3 linked regions of the Ovis aries genome follow. The main gene of each other region encodes a partner of the protein of the gene in region 2 in a complex. Links are inferred from orthologs where the notes say so. Each region holds a gene or a part of one and is shown on either strand. Other genes may lie near its edges. The genes, in order: LIN52, TFDP2 and LIN54.

Region 1 (3,646 bases), on a different chromosome or scaffold from region 2:
ATCTTTTAAGCTGAGAGAAGAGGCAAATAGCCAAAGGTCAAAATATCAAAATAGAGCATTAACATCATTAACATGATGATGATATAAACAGACTTTCAGGGTTGCAGTTACAAAATACTATGAAGGCAATAACATTATTCTTGACAATAAAGAAATTAAAAGATACTTGAGATTTTACCCAGAAGCAAAAAATTGGAAAAACTTCATTATGTGAGATATTACTTACACTTTTGAAGGAAGCTGCAAATTCAGCAACACCTGGTACTAAAAAGAAAAAACAGAACATTAATCATTCAATATTGGCTACTATGTAAGGAAATGGGCACTTCCATACACAGTCATCCTCTTTCATGTGCACAAAGATATACATTGTGAAATCATTTATACTATCAAAACTTGTATATTATTAGGTTTTCAAATAGGGTATGAGTTCATAAGCTATAGTAAATCTAGACAATAAAATTTAAAAATGAAGTAAATCTATACCTATCAACATGGGAAGATCCACTGATAAATTACTAGGCATTAAATTAAGTTAAGCTGTAGATCACTAATACAGCTCAGTTCAGTTTAGTTCAGTCGCTCAGTCGTGTCTGACTCTTTGCGACCCATGAATTGCAGCACGCCCGGCCTCCCTGTCCATCACCAACTCCCAGAGTTCACTTAGACTCATGTCCATTGAGTCTGTGATGCCATCCAGCCATCTCATCCTCTGTCGTCCCCTTCTCCTCCTGCCCCCAATCCCTCCCAGCATCAGAGTCTTTTCCAATGAGTCAAATTTTCGCATGAGGTGGCCAAAGCACTAGAGTTTCAGCTTTAGCATCATTCCTTCCAAAGAACACCCAGGACTGATCTGCTATACAACCGCATAACAAAACAAAGCAAAAAAAAACTCTATATACTTTAAAATATTTATTTGCTTACTTGTGTAAGCATTAAAAAAAAATACACAATTTCTGTACTGAACTACAACAGCAGTTAACTTTATCAGCACTTAAAGGACGCAAGGAATTACTTGATACATTTCACACTGTCTGAGTTATTACAGATATAGCTTTTAAAAATAATTCTTTTGAGTGGGAGGTGGGAGGGGGGTTCATGTTTGGGAACTCATGTACACCGGTGGTAGATTCATGTCAATGTATGGCAAAACCAATACAGTACTGTAAAGTAAAATACAGTAAAAATAAAAATTAAAATAAATAAATAAATAATTCTTTTTTAAAGGTTCTCTATCATTTTCTGAGTCACACTGTGCTCTGAAAGAACTGAACTACTAAACAGCTATTCTTACCACCAGACCACAGAATTCAGTCTTTTCCTCTGAAATAAAATTTTAATCATTACAGTTAAATGATAACTCTTCAAAAATGTTCCTCAAAGTAGCACTGGTTTTCCCATTGATTTTGATATCAAGAAACCAAAAACTTACATTGTTCTGGCCAAAGGTCTGGTGAAGCCCTGTCAAGTTTTTCAAAACTTAGCAAAGATGCTTCTAGATCTGCCCCTAGAACAAAACACCCAGATAAGCCAAGAAGGAACAAAACACATTATTTTACATGTTATGACATATCAATCTCAAAGAACATAAACTGGAACACTCACTCACCTGGAAGTCTAGAGATTTGAGTTCTATGATTACTGATGCTACTGTGCCATGATGTTACACAAACAAATGATTTCCTTACTCTCCCCGTCTTTAAAAACGGAAACAATATTTTAGTAGGGTGTTGGGAAAAATGAATGTTCAAAACCACCTGTATCTTTACTCGTGTGTGTGTGTGTGAGTGTCTGTGTGTGTATTAAGTCGTTCAGTTGTGTCCGACTCTTTGTGACGCTATGGACTGTAGCCCCCTCAGGCTCCTCTGTCCGAGGAACTCTCCAGACAAGAATACTGGAGTGGGTTGCCATTCCCTATTCCAGGGAATCTTCCAGACCCAGGGTTCAAACCCTAGTCTCCTACATTGCAGGAGGATTTTTTTTACCACATGAACCACCAGGGAAGCCCATCTTTACTCATACTCAGACTCTCCTTCCAGTCACTGAAGTCCCTGCTATCAGAAAAAACAAACTCCTCTGCTCAGGCTCTGGATTCCACTGGATTTCTCTTGCTTTGTCAAAGACATCATAGTGAATAATCTATTGCACAACCAGTTTCTACCCTCTCTACCGGCTCATACTCAACAAGTAAGTCTGCTCTGGAATTTACCTTCTTTGAAGAAACTCTTGACCCCATGACTTCCTCACTACTTCATAGCAAAAGTTTTTTAGCTGTCCATCCTGTTGTCTCCTCTTCCTTACCTCACAGTCTTTCTTTAGCCTACCACAAACAGGCTTCTACCCCTACATGCATGGAAACAGCTGTCACAGAGGTCACTGATGACCTGTGTTGCTAAACCCAGTGGTCACTTCTTTGTTCTTTCTTATATGACCCCTCTGCAGCATCCAATCACTGACTACTCTCCTTCAAACACTCCAGCTTCTACAAAAGCACTATGCTGGTTCTTCCCCTTCCTCACGGATTCCTTCAGTCTCCCCTTCCACTCAGGGCCCACCGTAGGCTGGCTTCACTCTCGACTGAAAGTCTCCCAAGGAAATCTCATCTAGTCCCATACCCTTTACCACCATTTATTTGCCAAGGACTCCATATTTCTCTTTCCAGCCCCAATATTTTCCCGAACTTCAGCATTGTATATCTAAGTGACTATGTGACATCTCTATGTGTGAAAAACTTTTTAATCCCCATCTTCTCCATCTCAGTAAACAGCACCACCATCAACTCCAGTTCTCAATCCAAAAACCCAGGGGTCATCCTTCATGCCTCCCTTTCTTTCATCCTTCCATTACCAATCTATTCGTAAATCCAGTAGTTTCTATCTAAACCACACTCTGAAATTTCATTAATTAAGCAAGAAACTATCGTTTCTCTCCTGTACCACTTCAATAGGCTCTTACCATCTCCCTGCTCCCATTCTTACCCCTCCCCATCCCTACTCTCAAACCTACTTTCCAAAAAAGTTAAATGTCAATCAGTTCAAGCCACTCTCCAGCTTAAAAGACTTCTTCCCAGCTAAATTCATGAATGCATATCTATTGTGACCTATAAAATTCTATATGACCCAGCCCCTGCCTAATTTTTTGACACCATTTCTTTTCCACTCTTGCCCTGGAACACAGAAGGTGTTTAATATTAACAACAACAGTTAACATTTGTTAAGTACATTACTTTGTGCTCAGTATACAAATTAGCTGCATAAATTAGCTAATTTAATGATATAAACAGTGGTTCCTAACATGTTCTGGGTAAGCCAAATTTTTGAAAATCTGAAAAAAAAAGCTATGAACCCAGAAAATGTACATATTTATAAAATCTTTCAACATGTCCTTTTTTCTAACCAAAATTTCCTCCCAATAGTCTAAGGAACTCCCAAGTTCACATCAGGATTATCTACAATAGCCAAGACATGGGAACAACCTAACTGTTCACTGATGGATAAAGTTTGAAAATACACACACACACACACACACACACACACACACAAATGGAATATTATTCAGCCATATATAAATGAGGAAATCCTGTCATTTGTGACAACCTATATGGACGCTGAAGGCATTATGATAAATGAAATAAAACAAATAAAAT
Region 2 (4,363 bases):
TTTAAGTTCAATAAAAGAAATCATTTCTTAGAAGTTAAAGTTGTCCAAATATCTTTACCTCAGAACCTATGAACCTTCTCTCCAGAAAATATCCAAATACATATAATTTTGTATAAAGTTTTCAAGGGCTTACAAATCTACTTTTAAATCTATTTATGTCCTATCCCTAGAATCATATACCCCAGATTAAAATGGAAAGAATTCAAGTATAAGAGGTAAATATATTTAATCTAGAAAATTCATCACAACTTCAAATTCTATGATTCAAAACTCTGAACTCTATGCTTTCTAGTTTCTTCTAAGATACATTGCAATAAGAGCTTAAAATATGGTGCTGAGTTCAGAAAAAAAGTGAAATCGTTTGCCAAGAGACAATGTAAACTGACTACAAGATCTATCAGTAATAATGGCTTATTACTTAATCTTTAAAAGAAACATACCTAAGTTTAAAGATAAAAAAATAAGATACTAAGGTACTACTCATATCTAATATTTAATGCCCAAATTACAAAGTGCCTCCTTCTACTTTCAAGCCTTAATCTTTTCATCTTTCAGTGCCAGTTAACTGTTAAGGTTGACAAACTAAGAAAACAAAGGACTAGAAGTTAGAATACCAGGTTCTAACCTATGCCATGAACTTAATTTGGGCTTAATCTGTTTTTTACCATACTCTACTCTTTGAATCCTTCAGGTTGTGTTTCAGTGAATAATTTTCATCCACAAACACTTTCCACATTAAGGATAAATCGATCTGTACATCCAATTTCAAGCTGCATTGAGAGGACATAGCTCAGACAGTTAAGAATTTTGGCTGCAAGGAAAAAAACTTGAAAGTGCCAGCTGGCCGTCACCATTGCCAAGAGTTGGTGGGAAAGGTACATGATCACAAAATGGTAACATTAAGTATGACACACTTGAAAATTCTGTTTTCTCTCCTAATTAACCAACCACACATAATGAGAACTCAAAAACAAGAGTTTAGTAAGTCTTGGGCCTTTATTAAATATAAGCACCATACTGCTGAAACTGCAACTGTACTGCCAGGACAGGGCTACAGACACCATGTCTGCCATGAGACTAGGCTCTAGTTCCAGGCACAAGATGTTCTAATAAATAACATGCAGCAAGCGCCAGCGCACAAGTGTGATAGAATCTGGGGTCTAGACATTTGATTTTTCTCCCAGTGCTACTTAAGAATGGCCGCGGCCATTAAAGATTTATTACAGTAACAGGATAGCGATAAAACTTTAGCTAAATGGCAGGCCAACCAATGAAATGGAAAAGCAACATGCAATAACAGATCAACTAAATTAGTTTCTATTTAATTTTGTACAGTAGGCTCATGATTACACTGCATAAAGAACAGATGAATAACCTAAACTGTATCTATTAGGTAAAGATGATTTCAAGCCATTATGAGAAAAGTGGCCCAGAAAAAAAAATCAGGCTATAGAACTCAAGTGGAAAAAACACACAAAGATTTGGGAGAGAAAGGGGAAGGAAGGGAATGAGCTACTGACTTACTAAAAAGAGAGCAAAGAAGTGGGACAGGGAGTCTGAGCCCTCTGAGACAAAATGAGGAAGAAAAAGAATTCAAAGGCTCAAAGGGAGCTTTAGCAGTGAATACGGAAAGGGATGAAACTGTCTCAACAGGAAAAAACAAAAACAATAGGGGGAACTTTTCTAAACCATCATTCAGGGTGGTCAATTCAATGCCTAACTCATGCAGGGCAGGGCACTTCGTAGGACGCGAACTTCGTTCCAAATAGTTCCACCAATTACTCCATTTCCTCCTGGCACCACCCCCAATAGAGGGTTACTATTACAGATGAAGAAACTGAACCACACAACGCCCGGGAACACAAGCTGGTACCAGAGACTGGGAGTTCATCTTAGCTGCACTTCTCCCTGCGAGATCCTACAAAAATCTTACACTTTTCTATGGAAAGGAACCTTAAATCTATGGAATTTCTCAGAGTCTGGGCCCAAAAGTGATCCCCTACTTTAGAGGAAAGTTCCCCTGTGGAGGTTGCAAGGCTCTTCCAAGCGCACGAGGCTTTGGAACTCTGAAATACACCTGGTAGAGACAGATGGAGGCATGTGGGTCATGAAAGGAGAAGTCGGAAAAGTCAGACTTAGAAGCCATTCTTCTGCCCTAAAGATACCGAAAAAGTAGAAAGCAGCCCTTCCTCTCTTCCAGCAGGCGTGACTCAAGGACAGTGCCTCCCCGCAATTTGCTGTGTGTTGGGGGTGGGGGGTAGTCTCGGGTTTCCCACTCCCTTCCCCAGGCACTCAAGGGTTACTCGGCCGGGCCTGGAAGATTGCGTGGGAATAAACAGATGGGACCCAGAGTGACCAGGGGGCCCGGAGGGGCAGGGAGGGAAACCTGCCCAAGAACACGCCGGGCCGGGTACAGAGGCCCGCCGCACGGAGCCCGCGCCCGCGCCCTGGACCTTACCACCGCTTGGCTGCAGGGGACAAGGCGGCCGCGCAGGACTGTTCTTCGAGCTTGGAGCGCGTCTTCAGGCCCCTCTGCTACAGTGGCGCCCGCGCTTGGCGGCGCCCGGGTCCCAGGCGGACTCACACTCGGGGAAGGGTGGGCGATCCGCGGCCTGCCTAGTAGAGGCCCTGGAGTTCTAAGCCCCGGGACGCCGACCGCGCGCGCGCGCCTTCGAGCCTGCCCAAGGAGGAAGGGTTAGGGCGCGCCTCGAGAACCGAGCAGCGGCAGCGGCTGCAGCTGAAATCTTCGGCGGCTCCGTCCGCCCTCGCCCGGCCTAGCCGCGGCCCCGCTTCCCCCGCGCAAGCTTTGGCGGCGGAGCAGCACGGTGAGCGCCGATTGGCCCTCTGGGTGAATGACGTACGGCGCCTCTCCTCACGGATTGGCCAGGCTGGCGGTGCGTGCACGGAGTAAACAAACCCCGCCTCCAGGCTTCCCAAAGAGAGGAGGGGGCCCCCGAGGTGGAGGAGCGGGGTCTCAAGCACTCTGCGGGGTACCCGGATAATCCACTGGAGGTTCTCAGTGGATCGCCTACAACGGTCCTGCCGCGTGCTTCCCAGCCGCCTCCGGAGCAGGCTACAGGCCTGAGGCCTAAAATTATAGCCACACCCTCTCCCCCTTCCCCCGGCCTGGGTGGGAATCTTGACTTTTCCATCCGCCCCCATCCCCCCGGCCCCTTGCAAGAAAACCCCGATCTTTCTTAGAAAAAGGAAAACGGGCGTCCCTAGTTCCCAGGCACATCTCGGTTCCCAGTCATTTGATCAGTCACCTCTGGGGGAGCAGCCTAGAGGGGCAAGGGGACGAGTGATGAGGCCACGTGTGGGGCCAAGTTTGCAGTACCCTGTAAATTATTCAGACAGTGGGTTAAAGACTGCTAGGGTGTGAGATTTTCAACAACCCGGCAAGTAAGATCCAAACCTGACCAGGTCATCATGTCACATGGACGCTGAAAAGAAAATTGCAGCTCCCACCCTCAAATACCTGTCTATTTAGTTCAATGTTAATAATACATTCTGTGCCTATCTGAAAAATCATGTGTGAGTTTACATTTTAGTGGGCTTCCCCTGTGGCTCGGTTAGTAAAGAATCCGCCTCCACCGCGGGAGACCTGGGTTCAATCCCTGGGTTGGGAAGATCCTCTGGCGAAGGGAAAGGCTACCCACTCCAGTATTCTAGCCTGGAGAACTCCACGGACTGTGTAACCGATGGGGTGGCAAAGAGGCAGACGAGACTGAGCGACTTTCATTTCACTTCACTTACATTTTAGTGGGGTGGTAAAGATAATAGGCAAAAGAAATAAGCAAAATATAAGCTATGTTACATGTTGCGACACGCTGTGGAGAACAAATCTAGTAGACCAGGAATGGCTTTAAGGGATGGCCTGTCTTAGAGTGCTCAGTCAAGGTAGCAGGAAAGTGCCATTTAAATAAATACCTAAAGGAAGTGGGGGAGGTGAGAATGCACCTTTGGACCTTTCTCTGGGGTGGAGCGGTGGTGAGATAATTTCTGCATAATTGTACATAGATAAAGTCCTAGGCGGTCAAGAAAGCCCAATGAAGTCTCCTTGAACTGATTCTAAAATGCAAAAGCCCCAAAGGAGTCATTACCTTGCATTTTTCAGTAATGGATCAATAGATGTAGTTTCCACAGAAATTTTGTTGAGATTTCAACTTAAATACTTTTCAAACACTCTAGGGACAAAGATACAAAAATAAGCAAAACAGATGAAACCTCCATCCTCAAAGAGCTCAGTCTAGCAGGAGAGCTGGATTGTAAACCACCTCAGTATAATGTATAAATAATCCAAAAAGTATTAATAGATGCATGGCTGTGCTTGGGCTAATGGGGGAGGGGGGAGTGGTGGATG
Region 3 (4,251 bases), on a different chromosome or scaffold from region 2:
GGCTGCTGCTTTTATTTTTCAGCAAGGTATTACAAGAGTTTCCCAGGTGGCGCTAGTGGGAAAGAATCTGCCTGCCAGTTCCAGAGACACAAGAGATTCAAGTTCAATCACTGGGTTAGAAAGATCCCCTAGAGTAGTAAATGAAACCCCACTCCAGTATTTCTTGCCTGGAAAATTCCAGGGCAAGGAGGAGCCTGGAGAGCTACAGCCCATGGGGCCGCAAAGAGTCAGGGGTAACTGAGCAAGCAGGCATAAGGTACTACATGTAAAGTTTGAAGTCAGGGTAGATAGAGAACAGAATGTCTGGAAATTCTGGAGCTTCACTAAGTTGAAAAAGTTGACGACTTGTGTAACCCTAAATTACAGGAGAGAAAACTTGGCTTAGAGATTTCTCAGAGCCCAATGTGATTTTTTTTTTGGCAAACACACATAAACAAAAAACAACAGAAAGGAAAGATACACTGAAGCAAAAATCAAACTATTAACAGAGTTCTCTTCTCACTTAAGCTTATTCTTTCAGATGATTTCAAGGATATCATCATTAAGATGTTAAGAATGGGTTGCATATGGAAGTCAGGATATAGGGCAGATTTAATGACTACTTCTAAAAAAAACCTTTAGGAGCTCCCTTGGTGGCTCAGACATTAAAGAATTTGCCTACCATGCAAGAGACCTGGGTTCAGTCCCTGAGTCGGGAAGATCCCGTGGAGGAGGAAATGGCAACCCACTCTAGTATTCTTGCCTAGAGAATACCATGGACAGAGGAGCCCCGTGGGCTACAGTCCATGGGATCGCAAAGAGCTGGACATGACTGAGCAATTAACACCTCACTTCAAAAACGACTTTGAGTATGTTTATTGGCACCTGAAACTGTCTGTAAAGGAAGCAGAGTTTACTGAATATTCAATAAAGTTATGTTAAAAAAAATCCCACTGAAAAACCGGGACTACAAATGCCCTCAACTGTTCAAGTCCTAAAGCGTTCCTCTAGAGAGGGAATGGAGAAGGCAATGGCAACCCACTTCAGTACTCTTGCCTGGCAAATCCCTTGGACGGAGGAGCCTGGTGGGCTGCAGTCCATGGGGTCACTGGGAGTCGGACACGACTGAGCGACTTCACTTTCACTTTTCACTTTCATGCATTGGAGAAGGAAATGGCAACCCACTCCAGTGTTCTTGCCTGGAGAATCCCAGGGATGGGGGAGCCTGGTGGGCTGCCATCTCTGGGGTCACACAGAGTAGGACACGACTGAAGTAATTTAGCAGCAGCAGCAGCAGAGAGGGAATACCCTCCAACATCCAGTTAACTTGTATTTAGAAGGCAAAGCTGCTGCTGCTGCTAAGTTGCTTCAGTCGTGTCCAACTCTGTGCGACCCCATAGACGGCAGCCCACCAGGCTCCCCCGTCCCTGGGATTCTCCAGGCAAGAACACCGGAGTGGGTTGCCATTTCCTTCTCCAATGCATGAAAGTGAAAAGTGAAAGTGAAGTTGCTCAGTCGTGTCCGACTCTTAGAGACTGCTCGTGGACTGTTGCCTACCAGGCTCCTCCGTCCAGTGGATTTGCCAGGCAAGAGTACTGGAGTGGGGTGCCATTGCCTTCTCCGAGAAGGCAAAGCTGGGATCCACCAAATACAATGAACAATGCAATTATCCTCTCAAAATGCAGTACTAACCATGGTGTCTCACCACCATGCAGATATAACAACGGTAGTGGGTGTTCATAATTCCTGGGCAGGATTCTACCATTGCTGTGGACAAGTAACTACTGTGTTTCACACTCTTACTTTTCTGGAACTGTAGTTATCCTATTGCTTCTGTCCTTGCTCCTCTATTGTTTTGTATTACATGTTTGGGCCTGAGGCTGATAATTTCTTCTATAGTGTATATGTGTCTGGACCATGAACAATTACATCCAAACTTTTGGAGAGGGTTGTACATTATCAGACATCCTGGATTTTAAGCTGATACAGAAACTGAGTGGGAACTTGAACTCTCTTCTTTAGGGTTGAGTATCCTACTGTAGGAAGGATACACACAGATACTGTATTATGATCAGAGGGACAAACGGTAGTGGAGACTGCTGGTTGACGCTCCAAAACCATCCTTTCCTTTGTCCTAGGCAAAAGGAAACTAAATATCCAGACTCAGAGTTACCAGGCATGGAGATCTCACTAAGTTTTTAACTATGGAGGGACATCTGAACTGATAGTGAAGGACAGGAAAGCCTGGCTTGCTGCAGTCCATGGGGTCACAAAGTTTTGGACACGACTGAGAGACGGAACAACGACAACAAATTGCCACAGTACTTTCTCAAAGGATTTCTTTGTTCTGGACTTTTCTTTCCCCTTCCCCAAATAAGGAACATGTTCTTTTTCACATATAAAATGGCAGAAATTCAAGTTTAACATCCTTTGTAGGCAAGGCTGCAGAAATTTGCACTCCTATATAAATACATAAATACAATTACGTATCAAAGTAAGGCTATAATATAATTTGTCATCTAAATGGAACAGTTTCCAGAGTGAAAGGGCATGTTATTAACAATTACTCCAGGACGACAGATGGAAAATGGCACTGTCCTGGATAAACTGAGATGTATGATCAATCTATATACAGACGCAGAGTAGGAACGGAATGGGGACATTTTTTATTGTACTTTACAAAAGTACCGGTCTGTAGTGAATTGTAAACAAACAAACAAAAAACCTCGTTCTTTACCACGGGTAGTTTAAGTGCAGCCTTAAAGAACAAGGGATGGTAAACTACATATATGAGATACGGAACTTGACGAAAACCCCGAAGTTTTGCGAATCGGGCACTTACTGGGGTTGCACAAGCGACACAGTCCCTTGGAGTTCATCCGCCAATCCGAAGTGGGAGCGCGTGAGCCCGAGCCTGTAAGAGAAGCCCGGGCGGGCCTAGGATTTGAGGAGTGGAGCTTCGCGTCAATCAACCTTGGGGGCGGACCTAACGCAGGCTCGGCGGTCTGGCCTACACAGGCGCTACTCTGTGGCATCTCGGGTTCCCTCTAGCCGCACTCTGGAGGACTACACTCGGTTTCTTTCGGCCGCGAGAGGCCCCGCAGCCTCCGCCGAGCTGGGAGAAAGATGGCGGCAGCCGTGCGACAGGATTTGGCCCAGCTCATGAATTCGAGCGGCTCTCATAAAGATCTGGCGGGCAAGTGAGTATTTCCCGGGAGCCTGGGAGGTGGAGAGGCAAGCCAGAGACTTGTTCTCCTTGGATTGACGGCGGCTTTCGGATGTGAAGCTAGGAGCGGGCCTGAAGATGAAGGGGGCGGGCCTGAGGTCGGTCGTGGAGGCAGATGTTGGGAGCAGCAGAAAACTGGAGGGGACCTTGTGCAGGGAGCGCTCAGGACCATAGATCTGGAGTGGCTGTCAACTTTTTCAGCCCTTGATGGCATCCTTTCCGTTCTCTAAAGATTCTGGAAGCGCGGTCTGTGGGACGACTGCGCCCATGGCCTTCTAAACCTACCCTGGCGCCCCTTCCCTTCGCTGGCCGGCCTCTCACACCGAATTCTGGCCTCTGTTTGCCTTTGCTGCGCCCGTTTTTTCTCTTTGACTGAGGGCCATTTGTATTCTGGAACCTTGGTTTAGAGTTTTCCGCGGAGATGGCTTCTTGAGGCTGACGGGGGCTGCTCAGGTATGGCCGCTATCATGACGTCCAGAACTACTTGAACCATCTTCTGTGGGTTGTGTTTTGGGTACTCTCTCTCCCTGCCACCAACTCTGAAGGAGGGCATGGAGGAATGTCACCACAACGTGGGTCAGGATGTCTAGAGTAGTGATGTTTGCAGAATTTTAAACATGATTAGAAATTTTGTCGGAATTTATGTAGAAGGGTTAAGTCCACGCCAACTTAAATTTGTGATTTGTGCCTGCCCTGCAGACAGTTATTCAACAGTGTTAATTACATCTAGATAGACAGGGAGATAGATAGATGTCTGTTTCCTCTTTGTAGATTTCACAGCACTAAATTTTTTTTTGGTAATTAACATGCATTCTGTTTCAAGTGTGCTTCTCAAATTGATCCTATTTACATTTGACAGCTAAGATCAGGTTGATCCATTTTAACTGGCTACACCTGTTTTAACCTGGCCATTGAAACATTGACTTTGTTTTATGTAGGCTGTAATGTATTTTGTCTGCTAGTAAATGTAATCCAGTATATCATTGGGAAATTTAGCAGTGCTATTGGGCTTAACTACTTTGTGGGGCAATTTCCCTCTCAGGAAG

What was found.
Region 1: TFDP2 (region 2) and LIN52 share a complex: the UniProt entries of both Homo sapiens proteins name them as parts of the DREAM complex. The link is inferred for Ovis aries from reciprocal best matches to the Homo sapiens genes TFDP2 and LIN52.
Region 3: TFDP2 (region 2) and LIN54 share a complex: the UniProt entries of both Homo sapiens proteins name them as parts of the DREAM complex. The link is inferred for Ovis aries from reciprocal best matches to the Homo sapiens genes TFDP2 and LIN54.

The regions. Positions count from the first base shown.
Region 1 is NC_056060.1:83,527,861-83,531,506, reverse strand, and holds part of LIN52 (protein lin-52 homolog), read right to left. Parts: intron 1,508-3,646; coding exon 1,433-1,507; intron 265-1,432; coding exon 227-264; intron 1-226.
Region 2 is NC_056054.1:247,417,043-247,421,405, reverse strand, and holds the start of TFDP2 (transcription factor Dp-2), read right to left. Parts: upstream 2,809-4,363; 5' UTR 2,459-2,808; intron 1-2,458. UniProt on the Homo sapiens protein: Can stimulate E2F-dependent transcription.
Region 3 is NC_056059.1:98,538,892-98,543,142, forward strand, and holds the start of LIN54 (protein lin-54 homolog), read right to left. Parts: upstream 2,869-4,251; 5' UTR 2,859-2,868; coding exon 2,822-2,858; intron 1-2,821. Other genes in the region: COPS4 (COP9 signalosome complex subunit 4), read left to right, coding at 3,106-3,179. UniProt on the Homo sapiens protein: Component of the DREAM complex, a multiprotein complex that can both act as a transcription activator or repressor depending on the context. In G0 phase, the complex binds to more than 800 promoters and is required for repression of E2F target genes.